Pelodiscus sinensis: one gene and its partners. The protein of the gene in region 3 purifies or fractionates together with the protein of the main gene of each other region. This does not show direct contact. Links are inferred from orthologs where the notes say so. Each region holds a gene or a part of one and is shown on either strand. Other genes may lie near its edges. The genes, in order: AMPD2, CAMKV, SDC2 and FGF2.

Region 1 (7,901 bases), on a different chromosome or scaffold from region 3:
CTCACCCTACCCGCCCCCCCCAGCTGGTCTCTCGCCTTATCTCCCCCCCCCCTGCGCTCAGCTGGTCTCTCGCCCTATCCCCCCCCCTCAGCTGGTCTCTCGCCCTATCCCCCCCCCTCAGCTGGTCTCTCGCCCTATCCCCCCCCCCCTGCGTTCAGCTGGTCTCTCACCCTACCCGCCCCCCCCCAGCTGGTCTCTCGCCTTATCTCCCCCCCCCCTGCGCTCAGCTGGTCTCGCCCTACCCCCTCCCTCTCCCCCCCCCCCCCCCCCGCTCGCTGCTGTTCGCCCAACTGCGGCTTTGCAGTCCGGAGGCTGCCCGGGGGGGGGGGGCTCTGCGGGCTCCCTGGGGCCGGAGCCGACACGCGGCTCCTGCAGCACAAAGGCGGATTGTTCGGTTCCTCTTTGTCTTTCCGCTTCGCGGGGGGGGGGGGCTAACACCCTGGCCCGGGAGGGGGAGGGGCAGTCTCGTCCCCCTGACTCCGCCGGGGCCTGACTGGGAGCCGGCCCGGGCCCGGGGGGGGGGGGGGGGGGGGTTTGCTGCCCGCGCGGCTGGCGGGACATGCCGGGGGGGGGGCGGGGTCTCCCCGCGGGCAGGGCGCTCCCCGCGCTGCTGCAGCTGGCTGGACAGGCGGGTCGCTCGGGGGCGCGGGGCCCCGGAACGGGCGTTCCCCGGCGCAGCCAGGCCCTGGTGCCGCGGAGCTGCGGGCGCTTCCCCCGGCCCGGGGTGACGCAACTGGCTGTTGTGCAACCTCCAGCCAGACCAGCATCTAGCCGGGCCCCGCGCTCCGCCTGGGAGAGGCAGCCGGGCGCTCTGGGGGACCCTGCAGTGTCTGGGGTCAATGGCTGCCTCTGCTGACGGGGTCCTCCTGTCTGTGCCCCCGGGGAAAGGTCCCAACGCCACTGCCCCCAGTGCTCGGGGCAGGCACTCCCCTGTGTCTGCTGGCCCCACTGGCCACTGCCCCCAGTGCTCGGGGCAGGCACTCCCCTGTGTCTGCTGGCCCCACTGGCCACTGCCCCCAGTGCTCGGGGCAGGCACTCCCCTGTGTCTGCTGGCCCCACTGGCCACTGCCCCCAGTGCTCCGGGGAAGGCACTCCCCTGTGTCTGCTGGCCCCACTGGCCACTGCCCCCAGTGCTCCGGGGCAGGCACTCCCCTGTGTCTGCTGGCCCCACTGGCCACTGCCCCCAGTGCTCGGGGCAGGCACTCCCCTGTGTCTGCTGGCCCCACTGGCCACTGCCCCCAGTGCTCCGGGGAAGGCACTCCCCTGTGTCTGCTGGCCCCACTGGCCACTGCCCCCAGTGCTCGGGGCAGGCACTCCCCTGTGTCTGCTGGCCCCACTGGCCACTGCCCCCAGTGCTCGGGGCAGGCACTCCCCTGTGTCTGCTGGCCCCACTGGCCACTGCCCCCAGTGCTCGGGGCAGGCACTCCCCTGTGTCTGCTGGCCCCACTGGCCACTGCCCCCAGTGCTCCGGGGAAGGCACTCCCCTGTGTCTGCTGGCCCCACTGGCCACTGCCCCCAGTGCTCGGGGCAGGCACTCCCCTGTGTCTGCTGGCCCCACTGGCCACTGCCCCCAGTGCTCCGGGGCAGGCACTCCCCTGTGTCTGCTGGCCCCACTGGCCACTGCCCCCAGTGCTCCGGGGCAGGCACTCCCCTGTGTCTGCTGGCCCCACTGGCCACTGCCCCCAGTGCTCGGGGCAGGCACTCCCCTGTGTCTGCTGGCCCCACTGGCCACTGCCCCCAGTGCTCCGGGGCAGGCACTCCCCTGTGTCTGCTGGCCCCACTGGCCACTGCCCCCAGTGCTCGGGGCAGGCACTCCCCTGTGTCTGCTGGCCCCACTGGCCACTGCCCCCAGTGCTCCGGGGCAGGCACTCCCCTGTGTTTGCTGGCCCCACTGGCCACTGCCCCCAGTGCTCGGGGAAGGCACTCCCCTGTGTCTGCTGGCCCCACTGGCCACTGCCCCCAGTGCTCCGGGGCAGGCACTCCCCTGTGTCTGCTGGCCCCACTGGCCACTGCCCCCAGTGCTCCGGGGCAGGCACTCCCCTGTGTCTGCTGGCCCCACTGGCCACTGCCCCCAGTGCTCGGGGCAGGCACTCCCCTGTGTCTGCTGGCCCCACTGGCCACTGCCCCCAGTGCTCGGGGCAGGCACTCCCCTGTGTCTGCTGGCCCCACTGGCCACTGCCCCCAGTGCTCCGGGGCAGGCACTCCCCTGTGTCTGCTGGCCCCACTGGCCACTGCCCCCAGTGCTCCGGGGCAGGCACTCCCCTGTGTCTGCTGGCCCCACTGGCCACTGCCCCCAGTGCTCCGGGGCAGGCACTCCCCTGTGTCTGCTGGCCCCACTGGCCACTGCCCCCAGTGCTCGGGGCAGGCACTCCCCTGTGTCTGCTGGCCTCACTGGCCACTGCCCCCAGTGCTCGGGTCTGCTGGCCCCACTGGCCACTGCCCCCAGTGCTCCGGGGCAGGCACTCCCCTGTGTCTGCTGGCCCCACTGGCCACTGCCCCCAGTGCTCGGGGCAGGCACTCCCCTGTGTCTGCTGGCCCCACTGGCCACTGCCCCCAGTGCTCCGGGGAAGGCACTCCCCTGTGTCTGCTGGCCCCACTGGCCACTGCCCCCAGTGCTCCGGGGCAGGCACTCCCCTGTGTCTGCTGGCCCCACTGGCCACTGCCCCCAGTGCTCGGGGCAGGCACTCCCCTGTGTCTGCTGGCCTCACTGGCCACTGCCCCCAGTGCTCGGGTCTGCTGGCCCCACTGGCCACTGCCCCCAGTGCTCCGGGGCAGGCACTCCCCTGTGTCTGCTGGCCCCACTGGCCACTGCCCCCAGTGCTCCGGGGAAGGCACTCCCCTGTGTCTGCTGGCCCCACTGGCCACTGCCCCCAGTGCTCCGGGGAAGGCACTCCCCTGTGTCTGCTGGCCCCACTGGCCACTGCCCCCAGTGCTCCGGGGCAGGCACTCCCCTGTGTCTGCTGGCCCCACTGGCCACTGCCCCCAGTGCTCGGGGCAGGCACTCCCCTGTGTCTGCTGGCCCCACTGGCCACTGCCCCCAGTGCTCCGGGGCAGGCACTCCCCTGTGTCTGCTGGCCCCACTGGCCACTGCCCCCAGTGCTCCGGGGCAGGCACTCCCCTGTGTCTGCTGGCCCCACTGGCCACTGCCCCCAGTGCTCGGGGCAGGCACTCCCCTGTGTCTGCTGGCCTCACTGGCCACTGCCCCCAGTGCTCGGGTCTGCTGGCCCCACTGGCCACTGCCCCCAGTGCTCCGGGGCAGGCACTCCCCTGTGTCTGCTGGCCCCACTGGCCACTGCCCCCAGTGCTCCGGGGAAGGCACTCCCCTGTGTCTGCTGGCCCCACTGGCCACTGCCCCCAGTGCTCCGGGGAAGGCACTCCCCTGTGTCTGCTGGCCCCACTGGCCACTGCCCCCAGTGCTCGGGGCAGGCACTCCCCTGTGTCTGCGCTTACCCCCAGGGAGGGCTGCTCGCCAGAGCTGGAGCTAACGATTCAAACACAAGGACTGGGACACAGGAGGCAAAGGGAGGTGCAGCCTAGAGCCCCCTGGCCCCCAGGAACAGGCCCTTTCTCACCCGCCTGGGCAGCGCTTGTTCAGCTCTGAACCCGAGGCCTGCCTTTCCTGAGACCCTCTGGGGCTCTTCTCTGCAGCACAGTTACCCCCCGCCCAGGGACATTTCTAGGGGACTGTTCGTCTCTGTAAAGTGTCAGGCTCCGCCACATCCAGACAGTAAACACAGGCTGGCTCCCGATGCCCTTTGTTCTCCCTCTTGACTAAGTCCATTTCACCAGGCCTGAGACCCAGGCCTGGCAGGTGCCATGGCTCCTAAAGTTCTCCCCTACACACATCCACCCCACAGTAGTCCAGAAACCAGCTACTGCTGAGACCATGGGGTGAAATAGCTAGAGGACGGTCAGCCCCGGAGATGATACGCCCTGCCCGGCTGCGTGCCGCACACACCCACAGACAGTCTTTGCCCCAAAGAGCCAACAATTTAAGTAAATATGACAAGCAAAGGGGGAGGGGAAACCGAGGCACAGACTGGTGAAGTCAGCAATAGAACCCACCTCTCCTGAGTCCTAGCCCCATGTGCTCTCCACCAGCCAGTGTTGCTTATTCTAGTGTCTTACTAGCGGGGAGGGCCTGTCCCTGCTGCCTGTTCCTGTTCCACCAGGGAGCCCCTTTTCTGGCTCTTGTGCTAGCAGAAGCCTGGGATGGGGCTGGCAGCCTCTGAAAATAGCAGTGGAGGGAAAGGAGGCTGAAAAGCCTGTACTGTACATCTTTGCCTGTCCTGCCGATCAGGATGGGAGTGTGGCTCAGTGGTTAGTGCAGGCAGGAGGTGCAATTCCGGCTGTGATGCTGATGTACTGCTTGGTGTGACATCTCTGTGTGCCCCAGTGATAGGGGCCTATGGGGCGGGTTGGAAAGCACCATGGCCGCCCAGGAAAGATGCTGTGCAGGGTGGTGCTGGGTCTTGTGGGCAGAGCCCCGGGAGGGGGGCCTGGATTGCTCCTCTGCAGAGGTGAGCAGGTGGGTCTGCCTGTGGCCTGGCACGGATCCATCCCTGAGGCATGGGGGGGGGGATCTGCCTGCCACATCTGGCCAGGCGCCCTCATCTGCCACAGCTCTCCAGGGAGGGGAGTTCTTTCTCTGGCCCCTAGCAGAGCCCCCAGACTGGCTCCATGGCCCGCTGGGCTCGCTGCTCTGGGAACAGCTGGGACCAGGCCCGGCTGGGGGGAGGGGGGAGGACGGACCAAGTTTTGCGCAGGGGGTGCTGCTGCTGGAACCCGCAAACCACGCCCCTGGGGTCTGTTCCAGCCGGCGCCCTGGGCCCCTGCCCTGCCCCTCGGCTGGGCTCGCCCGAGCTCGGGCCCCGGGCCTGGCGCCGCGCCAGGCGGAGCCGGGGACTTCGATCCGGCGCCGCGCTCGCTGCATCAATCAGCGGCCGGGGGAGGGGCCGAGCAAGCTCTGGGCCGCTGCTGCAGGAAGAGCTCCCGGCTCCGCAGCTGCGACTCCCCGGCGGGCGCAATGTCGGCGGGCGCCGCGCCCCCCCGGGGCAAGCACCCCTTCCAGAAGCGGGGCAGCCTGCAGGCCCCCGCCGCCGCCGCAGGTGAGCGCCGGCCGGGCCCCCGCGCCCGTGCGTGGGCTGCCTTTGTTCCGCGCGGGGCCGGGGCTCTCCGCTCGCCCGCGGACCGGGGGGGTCACCGGCTCCCCTCCTGGCCCCCGGGGCGGCGCAGCTGCGGGGGATCCGGGGCATCTGGCGTGGGCGCCGCGTTGCGGGGACGGGGTGCGTGTAGCGCTAGTAAAGGCAAGGGATGGATAGGGCTGGGGGGAGGGAAAGGAAAGCCCCCCCCGTGCTTCCTTTGCGCGTGAGTGTGGGGGCGTGAACTCTGCAGGCGCGTGTGTGCTGCGGATGTGGGGGGGGGGGGCAGTGACCTTAGTGGTTAGAGCAGGGGCTGCCCGGGTGTCATGGTTAGAACTGGGGGCCGGGCCTGGGTCCCTGCGTGGCTGGGGGCAAATGCTGGGGGTCGGGTTAGAGCTGCGGAATGGGGGGCTGGGTCCCCTGCATGTCTAGGTGCAGTGCAGGGTGTCGGGTTAGAGCGGGGGGGGCCGGGTTCCCACACAGGGTGTCGGGTTAGAGCGGGGGGGGCCGGGTTCCCACACAGGGTGTCGGGTTAGAGCAGGGGGTCGGGGGGGCCGGGTTCCCACGCAGGGTGTCGGGTTAGAGCGGGGGGTCAGGGGGGGCCGGGTTCCCGCACAGGGTGTCGGGTTAGAGCAGGGGGTCAGGGGGGGCCGGGTTCCCGCACAGGGTGTCGGGTTAGAGCGGGGGGCCGGGGGGGGGGCGGGTTCCCGCACAGGGTGTCGGGTTAGAGCGGGGGGGGGGCTGGGTTCTGTGTGTATCTGGCTTTGAGCTGCCCCCGCCGAGCGAGTGGCCACTTCCCCATTTGTGAGTTGGGAGTGATGCTCCTCACCTGCCTTTGGGAAATGCTTTGAGGTCCTGGGTGGAAGCTGCTGCCTCCTGCCCCTGTGAGCCCTAGTGGGTCGGGTGTGGGTGCAGGTGCGCGACTGTGGCGTGGATCTGTGGGCATGGGAGACATGGATCAAACCATGTTTTGGGGCCCTCTCCTAGGGCTGGAACATAGCACCCACCACCTTGGGGGGCATCCAGCTTTCTCCCACCACGTGTTCTAGAGCCCCCAGCCTGCAGAGACAGCCTGCTGCAGCTGTGGGCGCACCAGAGTCCTGCTTGTGGGGACCTAGGCAGCAGCCTTTAATGTGGGGCAGCTGGGGCACTAGTTGGGTGTCAGCTCTGCAGGCCAGGCGGTCCCAGGGCATGTTCTCTGGCTACAGGATCCCGTGTTCAAGTCAGTGGGACTGTGTTTTGTGGTGTGAGAATCATGCCCCTAAGCACAGGCCCTGGGGGCTGTGAATGTTGGAGGCAGGGGGGTGCTGTGCATGATGCACCCACACCTGATGAGCTGGGCTCACCTGCATGTGCCCCACAGTGAATGTCGTGCTAGGGCAGATGGAATCTCCCTTAATACTGGCCCAGGCCATAGTTCACTTTCCTGCATCAGTCTCGGGCACTGTGGGGTGTCAGAGGCAAGTGGGGAGGGAAAAGCTCATAATGCACCTAGCTAATCTGCGTGTGGGTGTTGTGTGGTGCGCTCATGGGGCTGTGTTGCAGGGACACATTATTCTTACTCCTTTATTTATCATCTGTTGCCATAGAGCCTAGAAGCCTGGCTGATGCTGATCAGCGTGCTGTGTGCTTGTGGAGTGTGCGGTGGTGTGGGACGCTCACCTCGTGTGTGCTGAGTTCCCAGGGGGCGGGAGGCCGTTGTGTGGTCTGGACACCTGGGCATAGGGGTGTGTGTAATTCTGCATGTGGATCAATACCTTGTTTTTCCTGCTGCAATTATAATTCCTGAAATGGGTAGCAGGAGGTGGAGCGGCTGCTAGGCGGGGGTGCAGGATTCCAGCAGAGGAAGTCACGGGGTTGCACCATCCCTCGAGGGCGTGAGGTGAGGAAGGGGGTGAAATCAGCATCTCTGTGATGCAGCTGGTTCCGGGCCTCAGCGCTGGTATCGACAGGGCGCTGCTGTGAGGGCGCCCCAGGGCAGACAGCTGAGGGGTGAGGTCCTGTGGGCGCTCCCAGGCCCCTGGGCTGCAGGAGGCATCCTCCAGACAGACAGCGGGGGATGGGCAGCGGAGGGTGTCTACATTGCACTGAGACACCTGGCCCGTGCCCGCTGGCTCAGGCGCGTGGGGCTGGAGACGGCCTCCAGGACCAGGTCTGCACCAGAGTTAAACAGCCCTCTCGCCAGAGCCCGAGTCAGCTGGCACTGGCCGGGAGGGGGTGCATCGTCAGAGGGGATTCCAGCCTGGCTGCGCCCCCCAGATCCCTCCCCTGCCACACTGCAGAGGCTGGCAAGCATGGCTCCCTGCCAGATTCCCTCCAGCTCCCCTCCCTTCACTGCTCCCGGCATGAGATCTGGGGAGGGGGGAGCAGCAGCAGGAAGGGCGGGGTGGTGGTGGTGGATGGGAGCTGCTCTGTTGCCTACGCCTCGCCCTAGGGCTCTGGCTGCCCTTGAAGGTGAACGGTGCCTTAGCAAACGCCTTTTACCGAGGGTTAACGCCGCTGGTTACTGACACGGCCCGGATTAGGATGGAATTCGTTGCCGCATTCCCGCACACGAACCCCGCTGGATGGTGACTATTCCAGGAACCGTTAATCAGCTGCTGCCAGCGCTCTACAAAGCACGGGCTCCCACGCGCACGTTAATGTCGCAGCTTCAAGGGGCCCACGGGAAGCCCCCACACGCAGGAGGCCTGGGGTGCCTGGGCCTTGGGAAAGCGTAGCACCTGTCCGGGTCTCTGCCACACTATGCATGTAGCAGGC
Region 2 (7,909 bases), on a different chromosome or scaffold from region 3:
GTGCGTGTGCATGCACGGCGGCCCTTCCCCAGTCTGCTTGGGGTCTCTAGCGTACCAGGAACATGGACCGACTCACTTGGCCCTTCCTGCTCTCCGCCACCACGCGCCCATGGCAGAGTTACGTTCCCGCCCAGCCTAGGGGTATGGGGTCGTTGCCCTAGGCCATCCATAGGGCCCGATCACACTCGCTACTCAGTGGGGGGCACGTGGCCCCTGGTGGGGCGTGCAGGATACTCATGTGCCACCTTACTGGATACTCTCAGATTGAGCAATAAAACCCCAGTCACCCCGCCCCCGGCTCCCCAGAGCCCCCGGCCTGGGACCGGCCCCGCCCCCGGCTCCCCAGAGCCCCCGGCCTGGGACCGGCCCCGCCCCCGGCTCCCCAGAGCCCCCGGCCTGGGACCGGCGCTGAGCTGCTGGGTCTGTAATTACAGCCCGAGAGCTGTCCTGTTTCCCCGAGGCGGTCTCTTCCCTTAGAACGTCCTGTGCCCCCTCTTGTCCCTGGTCCCGTTCTCCTGGCGTGGCTGCCAGCCGCTTTCCTGGCGGGAACAGTCAGCCCTAGCGGGCAGCGCTCCCCTTTGCTGGCTGAGGACCAGATTCCGTGCTCGCTTTGCCCCCCCAGTCCCTAAAGGGGGCCCTGGGCTGGGCAGCTCGTCCATGCCAAGTGCATGGCAATGCCCCCTAGCCTGGCTGTGCAAGGCCGCCCCAAGGGGCATGATGCTCCCCCTAGTGGGGCAGCCTGGCAATGCAACATCCCCTCTGGCAACTCGAAGGCCTGGAGGAGGTTCCCGCGCTGGCGCCTGACTCGGGGGGCACAGTCGGCGGCAGACTCAGCCAGGAGGGAGCCAGGGGCTCTCGCCAGCCTGGATGTCATCCGGCCCCGCTGTCTCGTGCGGTGCAGGCGGTGTGACAGCCCTGCGAGGGGTGTGGGCGGGAAGAGCGGGGGAGGGGGACTGGCGGCTGTTTCCGCTGCGCACGTGCACAGTGAGTGGGCGATGTCTGTGTGCGTCGTTCTGTTCCAGGGTTAACGCCCGGCAGCCAAGGGGGCGGGTGTGCCCGGCTACTGCTCGGGGAGCTGCGATCGGCCCTTGGGGCGCTCTTTGTGGCGGCTGAGTCAGCTGTGCAGGGCAGGTTCTGGAGCAAGCGCTGGGCTCTGCAAACGAGATCCAGGCTGGCAGGCCGTGTCCCCCTCGCCAGCTCTAGTGGGTGCGTGTCCTGCGGTCCCCTGAGCGCCACCCGGGGCTGTGACGGGCAGTGGGGTGCCTGCCTGCTAGTGACTGAGCTTTAGCCAGCAGAGCTATCCTGCCCCCTCTTACTGGTCCTGACCCCCCGACCCCTCGGCCCAGCTCCGCACTGGCCGGATGGGGCTTTCCTGGCAACCGGGAGCGGAGCCCCGCTTCTCTGGCTCCTGCCCAGCACTCTCCGGGGTGGGGCTGGCTCTCCCTGGGCTGCCCAGGCCTGGCTGCCTGGCTCCTGCAGATGGGCCCCACGGCGCTGAATTGGGGCCGTTGCTCACGCTGCCCCATGATCTGCCTGAGAGGCAGGCGCCTTGTGCCAGCTCAGCCTGCCTGGGCAGCAGGTGGGCGCGAGGCAGCTGCTAACTCTGCCCTGTACGTGGCGCCAGGCTGCGTCTCTCCCGCTGCCCTGCCTGCTCCCTCTGGGGCCGCTCCCACGTGCTGTAGCTCACCCGCCTGCCCTGTGCCGCCGGCTCCTCCGGGCTCTGCGCTCTCCTCCTGGGGTGGAGGCTGGCCAGGAGCCTGCAGCGGAGGCCCCGGAGGGCCCCGAGGCACTGACGGCAGCAAGCAGGGGAGCCCGGGCTGGGCCGGCCGAGAAGAGGGCGATGGGGGCAGAGAAGCAGCTGGCCCAGGCCCTGCTTTGCGGGTGTGTTGGCTGCCAGCACAGCCCCGCCAGGGAATGAACTGGTCAGACGTGGTACCAGCCCCAGTGCTGGGGTGACGTGTAACCTCCTTTCCCTGCTCGTGGGCCGGGGAACCCGCTGCCCCTTCCGGGCAGGCGGCTGAGGGCATGGAGAGGGCTGGGCCATTGGGGGCAGCTCCCGCTGGGCCAGGCCCGCAGGCTGCCGGGGGCCCAACCCCCTGTGGCAGGGCCCAGGGCGAGTGCCCCTGCTGCCTGGCGTGGGACAGGGCCCTGGATACCACCGCCTCCCCCCAGAGCTGGGCACAGCCTGCCCCCGGGCACGGCATGCTGCACGTGAGTCCCAGACCTTGCAGTGGCACCGGGCCCCTTCTGACCTTGTCTATGGGGCGCATCTGGCCCCACGTGTCCTCTCCCCTCCTGCCCATGGGCCCCCCTCCCCCGCTCCCCCTCCCCCAAGAACCGGGCACCTGACTCTTAGTGGGCCAGGCTGGTACATTAGTCACTAGAGCGAAGGAAAAGGGAAGCCCCTGCCCCGCCCTTGGCTCCGCTCTGCCCCCCCTCCTCTGCCCCCTTCGGCCCCGCTTTGCTGTTCCCTCACGTCCCACTCGCCGCCTGCCGGGGCTGTCCTTCCCACGCAGCCAGGAGAGCTCCCTGGCCCCCTTTGCTGCCCCGTGCGCCCAGCCCCACAGGGCATCGCTGCGTGGTTCCAGTGACTGCTGCCCGGCAGAGTCAGAGCTCCAGCCACGCCAGGCCAGACCCCCAGGACCGCCCCCCCAGCCTGGTCCCTGGGCCTGGCGAATCCCTCACTCGTGGTGGCCGGCCCCACACCCTCTCCTCTCCCCGGACCCCTTGCTGCCAGCTGAACCCGTGTACTGCCTCCTGCCAGTGATTTGATCCCTGGCTCCCTCGGTCTGCAGCTCCTCCTGACGCAGCATGGTGAGGGCCGGGGACAGGTTGCTTGCTATGGCATTTCCTGCACAAACAGCAGCTAATCTCAGAGGAAGATGGGGGGCTCCTCCCACAGTGTTCATGACTTATCCGCAGGCGTTGCTCCCAGGAGCTTGAGGTACAGGCCATCCCCCCATGTGGCTCCATTAGTCTGCAGCAGTAGTAGATTGTTATCCCCTTGTGCAGTGGCCCTGGATCCTTCCCCAGCAAGAACCTGCTCTCGCTAGCAGCACGGGGGCTGCCGTCCAGGCTGAGACCCCAGAGCTCATGGGCCAGCGGGGGATGACGGGTACCTTTGAGCTCGGCTCTCTGCGGGAGCGGTCAGCTGCCATCTGGATGGGGCAGGGGTTCACCCACCGCACGGGCCCGTGCAGTGCCAGGTGCCAATGGCAGGCCACTGACTTGCTCGGGCGTGGGTGCTGGGATGGAGCCGGCCGCTGCCCAGGAAGCACGTCGGCCTGGGGTAGGGTGAGCGGGAATGAGCCAGGGCAAGGTCATTGGTGCCGAACAGCTGTCCAAGTGGGAGCGCAGGTCGCTGGATGGGGGAGGGCAAGGGGCAATTCTCCAGGAGCCAGGGTGATGAAGGGCCTGGGAGCCGCTGTTGCCGGCAGCACAGCAGGGCCAAGGCAGGCAGGGGCGGCCCGTGAGCTTAGGCAGACTAGGCGGTCACCTAGGGCGCCACTGGCCTGGGGCACCCAATGATGACGTCACCGGGTGCCCGATGGGTACGTCACGGCCATTGGCAGCCGTACAGCGGGGGTGCCGATCGCGCCTTCCACCTGGGGCATCAGCTGCTGCAGCCGGCCTCAGGCCGCTCCCGAAGGCAGCCTCCTGCTTCCCTTGCTACACGCTGCTCCCGGAAGTAGCCAGCCCATCTCTGCTGCCCTCACCATGAGCTCTGACTCTGCAGCTCCTATTGGCTGCAGTCTCCAGCCAATGGGAGCTGTGGGCATGGAGACTCCCCCCACCCCCAGCCATCTAGGAGACACTTGGGTGGCTCCCAGAAGTGCCAGCCTAAGGTAAGTGCTGATCCTCTGCCTCCCCCCCAAGCTCCTAATCTCCCGCCCCAGCCTGGAAGTGAGTGAGTGAGGGGCGGGGGTGGAGTGACAGGGAGGGGCCTTGGAGGGGTGGACGAAGGGTGTTGCCTCGGGGAAGGGGTGGGGGCAAGGGTCTGTGGGTTTGCACAACAAGTAGGAACCCACCAAATTCATGGTCCTTTTTGGTCAATTTCACATCACAGGGTTTTAAACAGTCGGTTTCATTGTTTCAGCTGTTCCCATCTGAAATCTCAGGGTGTTGTAATTGTAGGGGCCCTGACCAGAAGGAGTTGTGTGTGGGGGTGCAGTACTGCTAGCCGTCTGCCCTGCCACGGGTGGGGTGCTGCCCTCGGGGCTGGGGGCCAGGCCCACCACCACCACGCTCGGCTGCCCAGCTGTGAAGCCAGTGCAGATGTAAGGGTGGCAATGCTGTGACTCCCCCTCCCCCAAAACAACCTGGTAACCCCCGGCCGCTCCCTCTTGGGGTCAAGAGCCCAGTTTGAGAGAGGCTGGGGGCCCCGGGAAATCTGCATGCTACAGGCTGGAAGCGCTGTGGGTTTGGTAGGGCCCTGGCCATCAGCCGGCTGGCAGCCCTGGCCCAGCACCCCCAGCGTCAGGCTTGTGCGGATGTGGGGGGGGGGGCCGTGCCTGGCTCGCGGCAGGCCAGGGAGGGAGCGTCCCGCTGCAGAGCCAGCCAAGGGGCTGGCTCCAGGGCTGCTTGAGCCCGGAGCAGCTGGAAATAAAACGGGGCCCATCAGTCGAGTGATTCCAGCCGGACTGGCCCCAGTCAGCTGTTCAGTGGGGCCCCGGGGCCAGCTGGAGGCATTGGGGAGGGGGCCCCCTCTTTGCTCCTCCCTAGCCCACAGCAGGAGGGGAGGGGAGGGTCTGGGCCAGGGTCTCAGCACCTGTTTGCTGGAGGCGGGGGGAGGCACAGTGCGTGCTGCTCTGGGTACAGGCGCTGAGCCTGTTGCTATGGCAATGGGAGTTGTACAGAAGGATAAAGGCAAGTCTGTGAGGAGGGGGTGGGGCCGGCTGAGGGAGCAAGGGGGTCGGGGCTCTGGTTCCCGGCCTGAGCTGCCCCGTGGCCCTGCAGCTGGGCTGTGCGGGCAGGGCATGGCCCTGGGCGCTGCTGCGGGAGTCGCCCAGCCCAGCCCCTCGTGGCCCGGCTAGCGGCTGCCCCGTGCTGCAGCAGGCCCAGTGCCAGGGCATGGAGCAGGCCGGGCGGAGAGGTGCCCACACGGGGCCTGCAGCAGGCTGGGCCGCGCGGCAGAGCGCCCTGGTCACCACGTGCCCAGGCTGGCATCCCGCTGCCCGGCAGAGCGCTGGGAGCCCATGGGCCCAGACACAGCAGCGGAGGGGGGGGGGGAGACGTGGGAACCAAAGGGCACTGCCAGAGGGTTTCCCACCAGCTTCCTCTAGCCAGAGCCGGGCTCCGCAGGGAATGGCCGGGGGAAGGGGGGGGGGGGGGACAGAGCCAAGGGCCCGGCCGGCTGCCTGCTGGGCCGTGCGTCCGGGTCCCACGCGGTGCGGCCATGGGGCCCACAGAGACCGCTCCACCGGGGCAGGCTTGGGCACGCTGGGTCTGCCTGGGCAGGGCTGGGATCGGGCACCCAGCGCCTGCCTACCCTGGGCAGAGGAACCTGCCGTGCTCCGGGCCGTTGCAGTGGCTCTGCGGGCGGGTGTGGCTGGCGGCCCTCACTGGGTGTTGGGCTGGTGAGCAGACTGGCAGCCCCCTGCTCAGTGTCAGCACGAGGGGGAGCAGTTTCCTCCTGGCAGCTGGGCCACCAGGCTGGTGAGCGCAGGTGACAGGGCACAGACCTGGCCTCAGTCAGCCCCACTCCACGGCAAAGCTCCCAATGATCGTTTCCACCCGTGTGGAATAAATTTGTTTTGCGCACCAAGGCTTGTGCGGATGTGCACCACCAGCGCTCTGCCAATCAGCTGAGCCGCGCTGGACTCTCTCCTGGGGAGAAGCCGCGAAGTGGTGGGACTGCACGGAGTGAGGTTTGACCCCCTGCGGGGCAGGAAGACCCCAGCAGGGAGCTGGCACTCTGCTTTGGAATGGGAAATGGCCGTGCTGGGGGGAGGGGACTGCGAAGGAGCCCTGCCTTAGCGGGGCAGGAAGTGCCAGAAAGGCCACTGGCAGCCGGGGGGGCCTGACCAGCAAGGCCCGGAGGAAGCAGTGTGGCCCAGTGGCAGGGTCATGCAAACGCCCTCCTCACTCGCTGCTTCTCTGCCTTCCAGCACCGGCCCCGGCGATGCCGTTTGGCTGCGTCACCCTGGGAGACAAGAAGGATTACAACCAGCCATCCGAGGTGACGGACAGATATGACCTGGGACAGGTCATCAAAACGTGAGTCTGGCCCGGACGCCTCCGGCTGAGCTTGCCCGGCCCTGTGTGTGTGGGGGGGTCCTCTGAGAAGATGGGGGGGGGGGGGGCCGTTCACAGGCGGACCCTGCTGTAGCTTTTCCCCTGATCGTGAGATTGGGACGATTCTGCCCCCAGCACCGAGTGCTGCCGCTTCTGCGGAAGGCGTGCAAGGGGCTGGCTGCAGAGAAGTGCTGCGTGAGGGGCCGGTGAGCCTGGCGGGCTGAACCCAGGAGTTTCTGTGGCTGCGGCGGGTGGCGACTGCAGGGCCCAGGGAGCGCACGGCACCGTGCGAGCCGTCCACGTACCCGGGCGTGAGTTCCGACAGCTCAGCGTCACAGGAAAAGCGGCAGCCTCTGGTTCTCAAGGCTGGGAGCCGGCGCGTGGCAGCGGGGCTCCACTCGCATCCAAAGAGTTTGTGGAAGTGGTGTCAAACGTGCCGTATCTGCTCCTTCCTGTCGCGGCCCCGCAGCTGCACGGCGTGTCTCCAGTCCCACCCGAGACAGCAAGGCTTCCATTTGCGGACAGGATCGTGCCCATTCTACTGTAAAGCAGACCCCTGCGAAGATGCTTTGGGGCCAGAATTGAAGAGCACCTGGACTTTTAAACTGCAGAGGGAGTTCCCAACACACTGCGGTGAAAGGACGACAGTCACACCCGAGCGCACAGACTACGTGGAAGCCTGGAGTGATTCACAGACCAGTCCCCTGCCTGGCTGGGAAGAAGTCATAGAATCCTAGAATACTAGGACCGGAAGGGACTTCGAGAGGTCATTGAGTCCAATCCCCTGCCCTCATGGCAGGACCAAATACTGTCTAGACCATCCCTGATAGACATTTATCTAACCTACTCTTAAATATCTCCACAGATGGGGATTCCACAACCTCCCTGGGCAATTTATTCCAGTGTTTGACCACCCTGACAGTTAGGAACTTTTTCCTAATGTCCAACCTAAACCTCCCTTGCTGCAGTTTCAGTTTAAGCCAATTGCTTCTTCTATCCCCAGAGGCCAAGATGAACAAGTTTTCTCTCCTTATGACGCCCTTTTAGATACCTGAAAACTGCTATCATGTCCCCCCTCGATCTTCTCTTTTCCAAACTAAACAAACCCAATTCTTTCAGCCTCCTTCATAGCTCATGTTCTCTGGACCTTTCATCATTCTTGTTGCTCTTCTCTGGACCCTCTCCAATTTCTCCACATCCTTCTTGAAATGTGGTGCCCAGAACTGGACACAATTCTCCAACTGAGGCCTAATCAGTGCAGAGTAGAGTGGAAGAATGACTCCTCGTGTCTTGCTCACAACGCACCTGTTAATGCATCCCAGAGTCATGTTTGCTTTTTTTGCAACAGCATCATACTGCTGACTCATATTCAGCTTGTGGTCCACTATAACCCCTAGATCCCTTTCTGCCGGACTCCTTCCTAGACAGTCACTTCCCATTGTGTATGTGTGAGACTGATTGTTCCTTCCTAAGTGGAGCACTTTGCATTTGTCTTTATTAAACTTCATCCTGTTTACCTCAGACCTATCCTCCAGATCAGTCGCAACCCCTCCCAGCTTTGTATCATCTGCAAACTTAATAAGCGTACTTTATATGCCAATATCTAAATTGTTGATGAAAATATTGAACAGAGCCGGTCCCAAAACAGACCCCTGTGGAACCCCACTTGTTATAC
Region 3 (7,607 bases):
CTAAGCATGTGCTTTGAAGATTTGAGGCCACAGATGCCAAGGTTTAGGCCACAAATTTGTACTAGATTCTGTATCAACAGACACTCAGGGGTAAGGAGGAACCCACTGACTGCAGGGATCTACCACGAGGAGCTCCTTTCAAGAGGAGCCTCGGGTACATTTAGACAGCAGGGCTATTTCGGGATACCAGAGGTATCCCAAAATAGCTACCCTGCATCTTTTAAACATCTCCATTATTTTTAAATATTTGTTCCACTAGGGTTAAGGAATGTGTCAAAATAGCACGTTATTTCAAAATTTGGTGTTGTGTTGATGTGGCAAATTTTGCAATGAGCTATTTTGAAATACAATTGAAATAAGATATGCATTCTGCATATCTTATTTTGAATTTAGAATGCTGTGTAGTAGGGATGTGAAGGACTAGTTGACTAGTCGACCATCCGATAAGCAAATGCTTATCAGAGAGTCAACAGGATAGTTAACTAATTGCTTCCCCTCCCCGCCTTACTGCTCTATCAGTTAGAAGCAACAAGACGGGGGAGAAGAGGGGTTCTTCAAAATAGCTGTGCCACTTGAAGCTTGAGGCCAGGCCCCGGGCACCATGCAGCACTGTCGCTTTGAAAAGCTGCATGCAGCCCGAGGCCAGATGGGGTGTCCCCAGGCTGCATGCGGTGTTTCAAAGCAGAAGTGCTGTGCGGAGCCCGAGACCATCTGTGGATTCCAGCTGTCCCCGGGGTCTGTGCAGCACTGCCTCTTTGAAATGCCCCGGGAAGCCCGGTGTCAGGCTCCTCGTGGCATTTCAAAGCAGCAGCGCCACGTGGAGCCCAGGATCAGCTGGGGACTGCCCAGCTTACATGAGGCTCCATGCGGCATTGCTGCTTTGAAATGCCGCAGCGGCGTTTCAAAGCAGCAGTGCCACACAGAGTCCCCAGATGACCCAAGGCTCCAGATGGTGCTTTTGCCTTTGAACGTAACAACAGCCCTAGGGCAAAATGCACCAACTATGCAACTAGTCAATTACCTGATACTTAACATCCTCACAGTGTAGTAGATGCACCCTTACAGCCCTTAGAGGACAGAAGCCTTTGTTTTAGTCTGCAGGGGATTTTGGAACAGAGTGGGTATATCTCTGAGCAAGAGAGATTGTAACAAATTCAAAGAAAGTGTTTTTGTTTAAAACATATGCATATGCACATGAAGGCAGAAATAGCCCACCATAGTAATTAAAAAAAATCAGTACTCAGGTTCCTTATGTCTTTTCCTGCACATGCCTTTTTTATGTTTTTGTTTTCATTGTTGTTTACTGTTTTTATCATTTAACATAATGTACATCAGTGTTTCTTAAACTGTGTTCTGTGGTACATGGGTGTGCCATGAGGCAGTCAGTGTGAGCCGCAGAGAACAACAGAATTCAAAATGGTGTTCATCGGTCTTAAAAGTTTAAGAAACACTGATGTATACCCATTACTAAGGAATCAGAAAATACATACCTAGCATTCCTGTGTTTTAATTGTAGCTCTTCTTTTGCCTTGTGCAAGTGATTCAGGCCTTGATTCTGAAAGCTAATCTGTGTACATGGACATTTATACCTATAGTCAATGGGATTCTGCACAAGTATATTTGGATCAGTTTGCAGGATGGGAGCCTTTGCCTTGCTTTTCTCAATTGTAAAGGAAGGATATTAGTGATCTACCTTACAGGGCTGTGGATTTATTCATAGTTATACCCCAGTCCAGCTAAGTCCAGCTAAGTACTCTGTCTGAGTGGACCCCTCCATTTGCACAGAACTCAGTGGCTTCTTCCAGTTGTCCACCCATATCACCTTACAAGATTGGGGTCTGAATGTTTGCAGTATGTTTTGAAGATTAAGTGATATATTGTGTAATCAGTTTTTATTCCAAACTCTCCATTGATTCATTAATGACTGTACTGCGCAAAGCTTGAAGATGTTGAAAAAAAAAGCCAAAGTGGATTTCAGAAGAGAGTGCCTGTAAAAAGTTCTGAAAATCAGTATTTGGACGAGTGTTATTACTATTGTGTTCTCCCAGGATCATATCCATACACAGGAGGAGGACGCTCAAAACTGCTTCTTCTGTTTGGAAGGTAGTCACTCTACAGCACAGTTGTCTCATTTCCTGCCATATAGACTCCTCTGTGAATCTACATGTGAGGAAGGGTTAAGGGGGATTTTGGGTGAGGGAGCACTTCCATTTGAATGGCCTGAACTTTTATGCTAGTAAGGGGTATGTTCAAGGAAAGTGGAACCAAGATACCAGGGAGCTGCAACTCAGTTGAACTAGGCTCCAGGACTTGATTCTTTCATCGCAGTAAAAATATAACCTCTGGCTACGTCTACACTGGTATGAATTTCCGAAAATGCTTTTAACAGAAAAGTTTTCCGTTAAAAGCATTTTCGGAAAAGTGCGTCTAGATTGGCAGGATGCTTTTCCGCAAAAGCACTTTTTGTGGAAAAGCGCCCGTGGCCAATCTAGACGCGGTTTTCCGCTAAAAAGCCCCGATCACCTTTTTCACGATTGGGGCTTTTTTGCAGAAAACAGTACTATGCTGTTTACACTGGCCCTTTTGCACAAAAGTCTTTCGGAAAAAGACTTTTGCCCAAACGGGAGCAGCATAGTTTTTCCGGAAAAGCACTGATGATTTTACATGAGATCATCAGTGCTTTTCCAGAAATTCAAGCAGCCAGTGTAGACAGCTGGCAAGTTTTTCTGGAAAAGCAGATGATTTTCCGGAAAAACTTGCCAGTCTAGACACAGCTCATGTGTCCAAGCCATAGAGCAGAAGTGGAGACCCTTTTTTCTGTCACGTGCCTCTGATGCACAGAAATAACTTAGGGCCACACTAACAAGTGAGGCGAAAAAAAAGCTATAAACCCTCACTCATTTACTTCACTTGCACTCAACTTGGGATACCATAGCTTCGCTCCTGCTCCAGCCCAGCAGGGCATAAGGGAAGGAAGGAGGGTGCCAAGGCCTGGGACTTCTGGCTGGAGGTGCAGAGACTTGCCATGAACCAAGTCAAATTAAGTAGGGTGCCTGATCTGGCCCATGAGCTGTAGGTTCCCCTCCCCTAATTTAGAGTGTGGAAAAGAGACACAGGATTGTGGAAACCTCTGCAAGGGAAACTTCACAGAGCTTTCTTCTACATCATCTTGGGTCTTTAGAGATGTTTAAATTTAGGGACCATTATGATCATCTAATCTGACTTGCAGAATAATACAGGCCCCTCAGAATGTCCGCTGTTAGTTTCTGAAGTAAGCCACATAGGCTGTGTCTAGACTGGCCAGTTTTTTTCCGAAAATCAGCCGCTTTTCCGGAAAAACTTGCCAGCTGTCTACACTGGCCGCTTGAATTTCCGCAAAAGCACTGACGTCTCATATAAGATTGTCAAGTGTTTTTGTGGAAATACTATGCTGCTCCCATTCCCAATACTATGCTGCTCCCAAACTTTTGCGCAAAAGGGCCAGTGTAGACAGCTCAGATTTGTTTTCCACAAAAAAGCCCCGATTGCCATTTTCGCGATCTGGGCTTTTTTGTGGAAAACAAATCTGAGCTGTCTACACTGGCCCTTTTGCACAAAAGTTTGGGAGCAGCATAGTATTTCCACAAAAACACTGACAATCGGGGCTTTTTTGCGGAAAAGCGCGTCTAGATTGGCACGGACGCTTTTCCGCAAAAAGTGCTTTTGTGGAAAAGCGTCCGTGCCAATCTAGATGCTCTGTTCCGAAAATGCTTTTAACGGAAAACTTTTCCATTAAAAGCATTTCCGGAAAATCATGCCAGTCTAGACGTAGCCATAGTGTAATGGGGGGAGGGAAGAGGATTGTGTAAAACTGTTTGCTTTCCCAGTTAGTTTCCACCTACCCAGAATTTTAAAAGTATGTATTAGATGGCTGCCAGATCTTGCAATATTTATGGCAGGGCTGGCTATAGACAATGTGTCCCTCCTAAATCCTGCATTTCATGACTACACCTGAAGCTCAGATTTCATTTTTGTAAATTTCTAGCCCTCATTTATATAGAAAAGCCCGAAAAGCTGAACCTAAAGGCGACCCCAAATAGCAAATAAAAAGACTCCAAAATGCTAATCCCCAGCAATCTTGTGAGTCTTTTGAGCCAGCTTTGTGATGTGGGAATGCTTGGAGCAGGCAATTCCGCATGCCATTCCGTTAACATATTGTAACATGTAATGAAGTCTGAGAGGGATGGGGTGAGAGAGATCACCACTCCAAACAAACATCTAAAAGCTTAAAAAAACCTCCGATTGCCGAGCTATAAAAAACGGATCTTTCCAAGTTTATTTGTTTATATCGGCCCATTTCTCACACTTCAAAGCAAAAATAAGCTGAACATGATCCCTTCCGTTTCTCCGCGGCGTTGCAAACGATTTCCATTGGTATTAAAGGGGGCAAAAAATAGAAGGGGAGACACCAAAAACTAAAGTTGCTTGGATGTGTACAAGGAGAAAGGAGAGAGGGGCCGCTGCAAAACGGCCCACCCCTTACTGGCTGCCTGAGCTGCCAATCTGTGCTGTAATCCTGCAGGAATTTCTCCTGGGCTTAACTAGGAGTCGCTCTGCTGCCTTTTCACACGCAGAGGAGAGGACGGAGACAGTCCCTGCACTGACCGAGGGCGAAGGGAGCAGCTCGGGACCTGCGAAGCTCCGCTCTCCCCACTCCTGCCTCGAGCCCCTCCGCGCGCCCAAACTTTTGCTCCCTCGTTTATTGATGCAGCCGAAACTGTGTCCGGAAAATTAAAATCCCCTCGGGGCAGGAGGGAGGGAGGGAGACACCCTCCCCACCAACCAACCAACCAACTCCGCCCTGTGCCTAGTGGGATTCCTGCCTGCAGGCAGCCAACAAGTGAGAAGCGGCGGCGCCAGAGGCGGCTGCGGGAGGGAGGGAGCGGAGAGCCCGGGATTTCTGTCGCTGGTGCTGCGGGCTCTGGTAGCGGCAAAGCAGCCGGGGATCGCTCGGCGGCTGGGTTTTGCCTGAAGCGGCAGCTTGCCTCGCCTGCACCCCGGGAATAATGCGGAGCGCGTGGATACTGCTCACTTGTGGCTTGGTGGCCTGTGTGTCCGGGGAGTCGGTAAGTGAGGGTGGAGTGGGGGGACGGGCTTTCCCGGGGGGTGACAGCACCAGCCCTTCTCATCCTTGCCGGGCTGGGCAGTTGCTGGGGGAAGAAAGCTGCGGAGCTGTGTCCCAGCCAGGCGCAGTAGAGTCCCTAGAGGGGCAGGAGCTCCTCTGCAGATGGACGGCGAGCCCTCCCTCCCGCTGACCCTTGTCAGTGGCTGGGGAGAGCTCTAGGCTGGGGTGAGGGGGATTGTGCAATAACCATCCCCCCTTCCAGTGGGAGACTTTGGGGCGCGGGAAGGGGGAAGAGACAACAGCCTCAAAGCTCTTGGGAGAGAAACGCGCTTCTTCCACAGAGAAGCGGGCTGGGGGGTTAAGGAAGGGGGAGGACTAGCTGCTGCTACATCTGCTGAGCAGGAGCCTGCTGAAGTCACTTTGATGATCTGTCCAAGGGTGCGTGTTTCTCCTTTGCGCGGGGCTGTAAATTATGATTCGGGCAGAGGCATCTGTTGATAGCGGACAACTTTTTTTTTTTTTTTTGTTAACAACAAAAACAAACCCTAGACCCGTGCGTGGCTGGGGAGAGTGTGAGAGAAAGACGTGACTCTTGGTGTGACCCTGCCACTCTAGAAGATAAAGTTTGGTGTTTTTCTGCGCTCTGCTGCTGAGGAGTTGTTGGTGGCCTGGAGGCGAACGTGATAGGATGGGGTTGAGAATTCACAGTCTTGCCCTAAAAACGAGTTAGAAAATCGTATTGCAGTTATTCTGATTCGCCGTGTATAGTGACAGGATAGTAATTTCTGGCTGAAGCTGTATTTTCTGAGGATTGCGATTTGCTTCTTCTAGTTAATGTATTTTTGTGGCGGGGCGGGGGGTGTAAGTGGCATAGTTAGAATGTAGAAAATGTCTGTCTTGTGTTCTTTCCTGCTTCTTTTCTAGTCAGTAATAGGCTTTTCAGCTGTAGAAACCACCAGGGATTCCTTTGGGCTGTAACAATGGTGCTATGGGGCAGCGGAAGACTTTTGGTCTGTAAGTGGTTGCACTGCTGTCTCCAGCTTTTCCTCCCCCTTCTCCCACCCAAGTAGTAGGAGTTTTGTATTCAGTTGACTCCTATGCTCCGGTTTAGGAACAATACATGTTTTCTGATTTGCTCTCCCTTAAAACTGCCCTGCCTCATGCTTTCCTCGGTTCTTCTGCCGCGAAGGGAATTGCTGCCTTGCAAAATAACTCAAATCCTGAAAATGCCCTGGGGAGTTGACGGATTCAGCTACAGCACTTACTTGTACTGTCTCCACTACCTACCGTATGTCCAAATTAAGCTACATCTTAATGTAAAAGAAGACGATGAAAACGCTCCCGTGAGGCATGTTTGTGTTCTCTTCTCCCCGCCCCTTACTGCGAAGTTAGTGTTCTCGAGTTTGTGAAATTTGGAGTCAACATGACTCCCTGGAGGTTATCGCTTGCATTCTATATTCCCCGTGCAATTTTCTGTGTAATACTTGCATCATAACTACTGAAAAGAAACCAATAGCTCAGCAAAGTTGAGGTCTTACACCCTCATTTCTTTGGCACATAAAGTGATTTTGTTAATCTCAGCTTGCCTCTTTTCAGTTAAGGATTTAAAAAAAAACTTACTGAGAATTTTAGTGTGTCGGACAATATTATACTTTGAAAAAAGAGCTTCCTGGCTCAGACTGAGTATTTACCCTTGAGAAACATTCCAGGCAATCTGGTATCTAAAATCACAGGCAGGGAAAACAAGAGCTCTTCTGTGAGAGGAACATACAAGTGGAGCCTCCTCAAAACATGGAGAGGCTTAAGGATGACTCTTTCCCTGATAACACTTTGCAGATGTTTTTTTCTCTGAGAAGCATAGTATAATTTGTTGTGTACCTTTTTAAAACCCACAAATATATTTCCACTAACTTTAGTTCTCTAGTTAATTAAGTCAGCAGCAAGAGTTGGAATTTCTGGTAGGCAGAGTTCTGTTTCTTGCTTTCTCTCTCCATAAAATGGAGATCATAGTACTTTACTAGCATTTGAGGCTTTTTCACTAATGCTTGTATGCGCTTTGGTATCACCTTTCCCTAGATAATCTCAAACTACATTTGCTGCTGCTTCAGTATTTTTAGGGTCTTTAACATTTCTCAGTTCATTGAGCTTCAATTTCTTATTAAGAAACAATGACAATGTAATTCAATTAGAGTGAGCTGCTCCACTGTGGTAAACAATTTCACTCACATGCAATATTTTTGCAAGTATTTTAGATATTATTTAAATATGAATACAATACAGAATCTCTGGTTAAGGATGAGCCAATCTTTCATGAAAGCCTTTTAAGGGTGATATTTTCTTAAAATAAAACTAAGTCTTCTCCGTAGCATAACTAGTGATTTTAGTTTGTATCATGAAAAATAAAAATTAAACTCAGTTTATTATGGCAAGTCTTTAATGACGTACAGTATATTTTAATGCTTTCTATTTAAATTTTACAGCTATAATAGCTTCTAGAGATGAC
Region 4 (7,976 bases), on a different chromosome or scaffold from region 3:
CAGAGAAGAGACTGGGCTGAGGGCATCAGTTCTTAGCACTACCCAGGCCATGGTGCTGCTTCTGCCGCTCCCACCCACCACCCTGGGCTGGAGCTGTAGGAAGCTGGTGGTGGGTGCCTGGCTGCTCCCAGGGCAGGCAGCTTGCTCTGGGACTGCACCGTGACCTTGCTCCAACTCTGGCACACAGAGGCAGCCCGGCTGCTCCCACCTTGACTGCAGCTGGAAGCTTGGGCTGGGGCTGTAGTAGAGCTGCTCCCGTGGCAGCCTGGCCAAGAAGGCCCCAATCGGTCAGCATCCAGTCCCTGGCCCTGATCCTCAGGCAGGCCCCTGTCCATCCCCCATCTGGCCGCAGGAAGAGCTGGTGGCGCACTGTCCCCTCTGCTGTGACACAGATAGGAGGGGAGGCCATGATCCAGCTGCAGCAATCCTGGCCCCGCCTCTCGTCCAGCCGCTGCTGCCTGAGTGCAACAGCTCAGCCAGGTAAGGTAATCCAGCCCCCGCTCCTCATACTGTCCTCTCCCCTCCTCCCCAACACACTGTCCTGCCTCGTGTACTTTCCACATAACCCAGTCCCTGCCCTGAGCCCCTCATACACAGCAACCCAGACTCCTACACCCCTACATCTCCAGCCCCTGGCCATGAGATTGACAGACGACACCCTGAATGCATGCACGAAGCTGGATTTGACCCATCATGATGTGAACTTCAAGAAATGTGTGAAAAGATACTGCAGCAGAAGTCCTATTAAAGTCTGAGTAGTTGCATTTATGCTATTATTAATCACCATGTTGATTATCAATAATATTAAGTTGTATATTTCAGTCCTGCAAATGGGCATTCTTATACAGCTCTTGTCGACCACTTGTTCTGAATTTTGATGTAGTTTGGCTCTTCGATTTGAAAAGGTTGCCGACCCTGCCCGACCGTCTGTCTTCAGCACCAAAATGCTGAGCGCTCATGGCTGAAAGTCAATGGGGGCTGTGCTTTGAGCATGTAAGTTACTACAGAATGCTTTGTACTCTGAAAACTCTGGTACTAGGACCACCAAATTGGGCATCCAAGATCAATGGATGCTTTTGACTATAATTTCTCTGTGCCGCCATTCCCACTCTGTAAATTGGAGCAAATACTCTTTCATCTTGCAGGGAAGTTTGTGAAAATAAATTCATTAGTCTTTGTGAAGACCAGGGTAAAACATGTAAGGCAACTGAATTTCTGTCCTTAGAGCAGGGTTTGAGTAGTGCACAGTATACAAGGCTAAGGGTTATGTACTGAACAGAGAGAACACAAAATATTGAATAGCCGCTCTTTAAGCACCATCTAGCATGAGCACAAAAAGAGGCAGGGAGACAATACAGAAAAATATGTGGTCATAATGCAAATACACAAGGGGCCAAATTAAGTTTATACCCAGGCAACAGGAACACTGGTATTTTACAGCTTTTGAATGCCTGGGTTTTGTGACCTTAATGTTTTTTGTGCCTAACTGTAATACTCTAAAGGGGCAAATTCCGGGGATTGTCCCCGAATTCAGCTCTGTAGAAGCTATTTTATGTTTAGCTAGAAGCCATCTTGTATAACAGAAACCATTTCAGCTTTTTGTCTTTGCACGTAGGCCAAAGTGAACTTTCTATCACCCCATGCGCCAGGCCAAGACAAATGTGCTATTGGAATGTGTTAATTGGGCTGGTTCAAAAAGGAAAGGTACTCCCTCGTACCTGTCCGCCATCTTGTTGATAAGGCTTTGTTTTTCCTAGTTTAATTAATTATTTCTGTAATTGAATGCCCTGACGTCATTGGCTTCAGTGACATGTACTTTTGTCACAATAGTGACTTAGTTGAGTTGATATAGGAAGAAAAAGTGTTCTAAAGTCTCATCAGGGAAGGAGAAACCAACCAAATTAGATAGTCTGCTGTTATCTCTTAGTGATGGGAACTTTATATGGAATTCCAAATTTGTGTAAGGAAAAGGAACCAAGGTTCATAGATTTTTGTTCCTTGCTGCACAATACATGTGAGATAAGTAAATCTTTATAATTAGCAATGGATTGTCATGAAAATAACAATGTCCAGGTTAGCTTTTTCAGAGATCTTTACTGAAAGGATCATGTTCCGTAATCAAAGGGCTGTTTAAGAGTGCCAGAGTGGACAACTTCTTCCTACACACCCTCTTGTTCACAGCTGTAGTAACAAATTGTTCACTTCGATTTTATCTTAACTATTAACTTAATACTAGCTCTTGTGTAATAGCACATAGTTTCTGCTTAGGAAGAGAACAAGAACTAGGTGGTCCAAGCAATCAAGAAGATGAAACTTCTTACACCCTTGTAGGGTGACTATTCCAGGTCAGGCATGAGGTCATTGACTGGACAGTATTAGGGAAAAATCACATTTTGGCTGTCTCCAGACTCTGGCCTTTGGACAGAAGTTGACAGTTGTATAAATTACATAGAGAAAATGTTTTGCGCTCCTCTCCAAGAAACCAACAAGACTTGGCCACAGCCCCACAGGCTTGAACAGTTGTACTTATGATATTTATAAAATCAAATATTGTAGATGTTATGTTTATACATGCAATATTTAAAATACAAGCACATGGCAATTGTTGTATAGTTAGATAATACAGAAAGAATTACTTCTATCACATTGACAGATAAATCCAATATGGAGGAGCAATGGGAATTGTACCACCAATTCTAGATGCTTGGTTTGGGGTGGTCCTTGTCTAAAACGAAAAGCTAATGCAATGCATGACACTGATTTATGTGCACATTAAAGTAAGTGATTTGGCTATTCGTCTTACTAGAATTATATAACTGTCAAGAGGCAGCTATATTTGCAATAGATTTTAATACAATATCAAACTGGACATTGTTTGGTATTGAGTAGCAGTGATGGAGAGGCTTGTAGTTTGGCATTGCTGGGGTGGGAGAAAATCACTTTTTAAACATAAATATAGTATTTTTGTTGAAAGTAGTCAACCATTTGTCTGACTGCCTTATTTGTTGAATTGGGGTAGAACAATTGTCCCTTAGCCCTCATTTTCCTGGAAAGGTAACGAATATATGTTTGCATAGCTATCAAATGTTTTTTCCTTGAGGTATGAACTTGGTTTATAATGTCCTGACAGAGAGGAATATTGTGTTATGAGGATCCCTTCTGGCAGCCCAGATCTGTGGATCAAGTGGAACAAATTGTGGGTCATCTTCTGGCAATATTTCCTGCTGGTGCAGACTGATAACAGGAAGAGTGTTTTATTCTGTGTTTTCTGACTGTTTACTGTGCTCTTCAGAAATAGTGGAGGAGAGGATTTAGCAAACACTCTAAGGTTGGGCCACTTCTACTAACACAATAAGTCATAACTAATGCTCCTCTAAGATTTACTTGTCTGTTCCTTTTCTTCCGCCATACAGTTTTCATCATTCAGCTTTGCACAAAGGAAAGATTCCTATTACTTGTAAATCTTGTATACATTTTTGCTCTTTCTTGATTCCCAAAAGGAGAAATATTTGGCCTTTTTATTCTTGGATATGCACACACCAGTGAAGAGGAAATATTGTGTCTTTCAGCAGAGTCATCTTTACCCATACCTAGACTGTAGAGTTGTGTAGGACACTTGAAAATCTGGGGCAACAGTGGGCTACGTCTACACTGTAGCCTTCTTCCAGAAAAGCTTATGCAAATGAAGCATGGAGTGGAATATTGCCATGCTTCATTTGCATAATTAACGAGCAGCCCTTTTTGCGCAATAGGCTTTTGCGCAGAAAGGAGCTGTCTACCTAGCTCCTTTCTGTGCAAAAAACCCTTCTGTCCAAAAACCCCCTCTTGCGCAGGAGCCTTTTCCCTGGAAAAAATGAAGAACGGCTTGCGCAAGAGGGGGGTTCTGCGCAAAAAGGAGCTGTCTACACAGCTCCTTTTTGCGCAAAAGCCTCTTGCGCAAAAACAGCTAACTAAATATGGAAATGAAGCATGGCGCTATTCTACACAAGCTTCATTTGCATAAACTTTTCCAGAAGAAGGCTACAATGTAGGTAGACGGAGCCTGGCTCTTAATGTGGATCCACCTGCCTCTTCCTATCCCTGTTATGTGGCTCTGCTTCTTCCGGAGAGGATCTAGTTAACTAAAAAATAACACAGCCTGCCTGACCTATTAGCAGAACATTGAACCTGTGAAAGAGCCATTCAAGTGATAACAAATCCATTTTACAAACATTTTTCCAAGTCCAGGTATATACTGTCAATTTTTTAATTTACCATGTGAGAGTCTAGAGGGCCTTGCTTTAAAATTTGATTTAAAAATAATCCATTTGTGTGTTACTGACAGGCCTGTCAACAGGCGGTGGAAGGAAAGGGGCTGCTCTTTTGCCTTTTAAATCTAGTAAGAACAAGAGGCAGCTAGGATAACAGAATGCAGGACAATGTAGCACTTTAAAGACTAACAAGATGGTTTATTAGATGATGAGCTTTATCTGAGGAAGTGGGTCTGGCCCACGAAAGCTCATCATCTAATAAACCATCTTGTTAGTCTTTAAAGTGCTACATTGTCCTGCATTTTGCTTCAACTACCCCCGACTAACACGGCTACATTTCTATCACTAGGATAACAAGCACTCCCCTCCCCTTATCTACTAATCCAGTAGTTGATAGACTTTTGCTTTAGTACTGGTTTAGCTGATTGTTTGAAATTTAACATCCCTACTAGGCAATTTAGACTGGGAGGTGGGAGTTGCTGTTTTCCTGGCACTGGAGCAGAGACGATTCAATTTATTCCTGCCCCGAAGTGCAGGTCCTAGGGTGTGAAATGAAGATCTTCCTCACGCCCCCACTAGCTTTAATACCCCCCCTTAACCGTCGTCTACAAACCCCCCTCCAGAAGAGCAAATGAAAAAAGGGTTGGTATAGTGCCTAAAAAGTGACACCGCCCCAGCTGGCTCCTTTCTGCGGCGCCAGCTGCCCCAGACTCGCTCTGTCTACGACCAGTTTGTGAAAGCGCGCGGATGCTGTTGCCCTGCAGCCGGCAGAGGGTCGGGAAGGGGACTTTCCCTGCGCACTCCAGGCGAGGGAGCGGGCGGGGAGGCAGACAGGAGGCTGGCTGTGCGGCCAGGGGAGGCAGGGCCGGGCAGGGTGGATGGGGAGGGAACCGCTCCTCCGGCTCGGCTGCCAGTTTCTCCAGCAGGCGCAGCAGGAGGCTCCCAGTCCCCCCGGCCAGGCAGCGGAGCGGCCCAGCGAGCCCCCAGCGCCGGGCAGGGGGCGGAGCAGCAGCGGGAAGCCGAGGCGCACAAACAAGTGGCTGAGAGCGGCGCTTGCCTCTGGCCCGCCGCGACAGCCGGGCGACGCTCGTTCCCGCACCTTGGCCGGCCCACGGGCTCGCGGCGCCCGGGCGTTGCGCAGCACCCTCAGCCCCGCCGGGCAGCCGGGAGCCGCTTCCCGCGCGGAGGCGGCAGGGCCGGGGCGTCGGGCTCGGAGAGGAGGGGCCGGGCCCCCACCGGCAGGGGCGAGGCTGGGCGGGCGCGGCGAAGGGCGAAGCCGGCAGGGGGCGAGGCTGGGCGGCCGCGGCAGGGGGGCCGGGCACCAGGGGGTCTCCCCGGCCCGGGACCCCGCGGCGGGGCGGATGGCGGCGGGGAGCATCACCACGCTGCCCGACGACGGGGGCAGCGGCACCTTCCCGCCGGGGCACTTCAAGGACCCCAAGCGACTGTACTGCAAAAACGGGGGCTTCTTCCTCCGCATCAACCCGGACGGCAGAGTGGACGGAGTCCGAGAGAAGAGCGACCCGCACAGTGAGTACCAGCCTCTTCCCCTCCCACCTGGGCACGGCTTCGGGGCAGGCCCCGCCGAGCCCCAACTCCTCCCGGAGGGGGCACTCCTGGCTCCCTTGAAAACAATGGCAAGCGCTCGCGTCCCGCTTAGTGGGGGCAGGACAGCGCCCCAGGCATCCAACCTGTGCCTGTTACCTTCGAGCCATCGGTGGGTGGGGTCGAGGGCCTGAGTGCTCTCCTGCTTTGGGCCCCCACCTGCTGTGCGATCGGGGGCTAATCACTCAGCCTTTCTGGGCTTCTTCACATGAGAAAAATCTCCCGGTGTGTGATCAGGATTGGGGACAGTCATAACCATGACTTCGCAGTCAGTGCAGAGGAGCTTCATTCAGGATTGTGACGCTTTAAGGCTGGTTAGCTGCCTGGGTGCCTCAACTGCAAACTGTAGCCAGGAGTTTAACTAGAATGCTCCCCATCCTATTCAAGCATAGGAAAACGTTCTTGCCTATACCCGACTTTTCCCCTGTCTCCAAAATGGATAGAACGCCACTTGCCTAGTTCATTGAGAGTGAAGTTTACGGTTCCTAACAGGAGATGATCTCAGTGTAGATGGTAAATACTTTGTCTGCTTTACTAACGGTTATGGCTCTATTAAAGCACATAAGCTCTCTTCCTCAACCAAAAGAGTGGGGCACCTGTTTGTAAAAGGTTTTCAATTTCATGTATAAACTAGGGATGTTAATGCATCTAATTATGTAATCGTGTAACCACTGAAAATCATATAGAGGCAACAGCATGGGTGAGGGTCTGTGTGTAACCCTGCACATTAACTGATGTAAATGGTTACACTTTCACATCCCTAATATAAACTTGGATCAAAAGACAGTAAAAACAAGTGTACAATACTTTGAACCAACTCCTAGACAGTATTTGTTGTCAGTCAAGCATTACTGATGGGTTCCTAGCAGGTTTTCTACTCAGTCAGTGCTAAACCCTGATTAATAGGTAGCAGGTTTAACAAAAACAAAAGGAAGTTTTTCTTCACTCAGCTCAGTCAACCTATGGAACTCCTTGCCAGAGGATGTGGTGAAGACTACGACTTCAACAGGGCTCAAAAAAGAGCTAGATAGATTCATGGAGGTTAGATCCATCAATGGCTGTTAGGATGGGTAGGAATGGTGTCCCTAGCTTCTGTTTCTCTGGAGGTGGGTGACAGGAGAGGGATCACGGGAGGATTACCTGTTGTGATCCCTCCTTCTAGGGGATCTGGTATTGGCCAGTCTCGGCAGACAGGATACCGGGCTAGATGGACCTTTGGTCCGACCTAGTATGGCTGTTCTTATATTCTAACTTGTGTGTGTGTGTGTGTGTGTGTGTGTTTCTCCTGTCTATTAGAGAGAGCCCCCAAAGATCACAAAATCAGATAAGGATCGAAGGCACCAGGCCAGGTTTATTGCCAAGCAAAGTACAGTAATAGTTGTCAACGAATAGACTTGCCCCAGAGCCACTACTCATATGTACCTCATGACCAGTGCCTGTAAGCTGAGCACTTGTGTGGACACTCAGGAGAGATACAGATGCTTCTTAGCTGATTAGCAGAGCGCCCGCAATGCCTAGAGCCATCAGCATGTATTTCTATTGCTGGTGCACATCTGCACATGTGTTGGTGCACATAAAATTTATTCTACACATGGATGGAAAAGCTTAGTGGGAACATTGCTTGTGACAATGGAATACCTCACTCAAAACTATTGATCTAATATTACCCCCTTGACTAGACAACAATTCTTTGAGTGTACACTTTTAGACACAGGTGCAAACAAATTACACTTCACTCCTGACATATCAGGTTGCCGTCTTCTGACATTAGATCCACCCCTTACCTTGTACATAGTTCTGTCACTATCTATCATGCTGTCAGTTTAGACCCTGTCCTAAATCTGGTTTTGTATGTTCTTGTTATCTTTGGTGTGTGTTGGTACCAAGATGTTTCTCAATGAGGTGTCCTTCATGACCTCTGGAATGTGCTTACAGCCTGTGCTTAGCAGGTATGTGTGTTTCCGTAACATCAGCCCTGTTCTTGCCAGCTTCTGTGAGCAGGGCCTGCCTCATGCTCACAGCTTAATTCTGTTTTATATTAGCAAAGTCTTTACCATTGCTGTTTAGGTCAATGTTTGTTTCGGGCCCTCATCTTACTACATTGTTCTAGGGGAAGAGATA

The links.
Region 1: the proteins of SDC2 (region 3) and AMPD2 purify together in Homo sapiens (co-immunoprecipitation; 3 studies listed by BioGRID and IntAct, counting the BioPlex papers as one, with this or other methods). This does not show direct contact. The link is inferred for Pelodiscus sinensis from reciprocal best matches to the Homo sapiens genes SDC2 and AMPD2.
Region 2: the proteins of SDC2 (region 3) and CAMKV purify together in Homo sapiens (affinity purification with mass spectrometry; 3 studies listed by BioGRID and IntAct, counting the BioPlex papers as one, with this or other methods). This does not show direct contact. The link is inferred for Pelodiscus sinensis from reciprocal best matches to the Homo sapiens genes SDC2 and CAMKV.
Region 4: the proteins of SDC2 (region 3) and FGF2 purify together in Homo sapiens (affinity purification with mass spectrometry; 4 studies listed by BioGRID and IntAct, counting the BioPlex papers as one, with this or other methods). This does not show direct contact. The link is inferred for Pelodiscus sinensis from reciprocal best matches to the Homo sapiens genes SDC2 and FGF2.

The regions. Positions count from the first base shown.
Region 1 is NC_134737.1:15,280,208-15,288,108, reverse strand, and holds the start of AMPD2 (AMP deaminase 2), read left to right. Parts: upstream 1-4,892; 5' UTR 4,893-5,026; coding exon 5,027-5,108; intron 5,109-7,901. UniProt on the Homo sapiens protein: AMP deaminase plays a critical role in energy metabolism. Catalyzes the deamination of AMP to IMP and plays an important role in the purine nucleotide cycle.
Region 2 is NC_134721.1:45,788,319-45,796,227, forward strand, and holds the start of CAMKV (caM kinase-like vesicle-associated protein), read left to right. Parts: upstream 1-4,905; 5' UTR 4,906-5,070; coding exon 5,071-5,092; intron 5,093-6,107; coding exon 6,108-6,216; intron 6,217-7,909. UniProt on the Homo sapiens protein: Does not appear to have detectable kinase activity.
Region 3 is NC_134712.1:38,828,753-38,836,359, reverse strand, and holds the start of SDC2 (syndecan-2), read left to right. Parts: upstream 1-4,595; 5' UTR 4,596-5,045; coding exon 5,046-5,105; intron 5,106-5,512; exon of another isoform or gene 5,513-5,527; coding exon of another isoform or gene 5,528-5,542; intron 5,543-7,607. UniProt on the Homo sapiens protein: Cell surface proteoglycan which regulates dendritic arbor morphogenesis.
Region 4 is NC_134715.1:37,761,631-37,769,606, forward strand, and holds the start of FGF2 (fibroblast growth factor 2), read left to right. Parts: upstream 1-4,971; 5' UTR 4,972-5,128; coding exon 5,129-5,780; intron 5,781-5,954; exon of another isoform or gene 5,955-6,092; intron 6,093-7,976. UniProt on the Homo sapiens protein: Acts as a ligand for FGFR1, FGFR2, FGFR3 and FGFR4. Also acts as an integrin ligand which is required for FGF2 signaling. Binds to integrin ITGAV:ITGB3.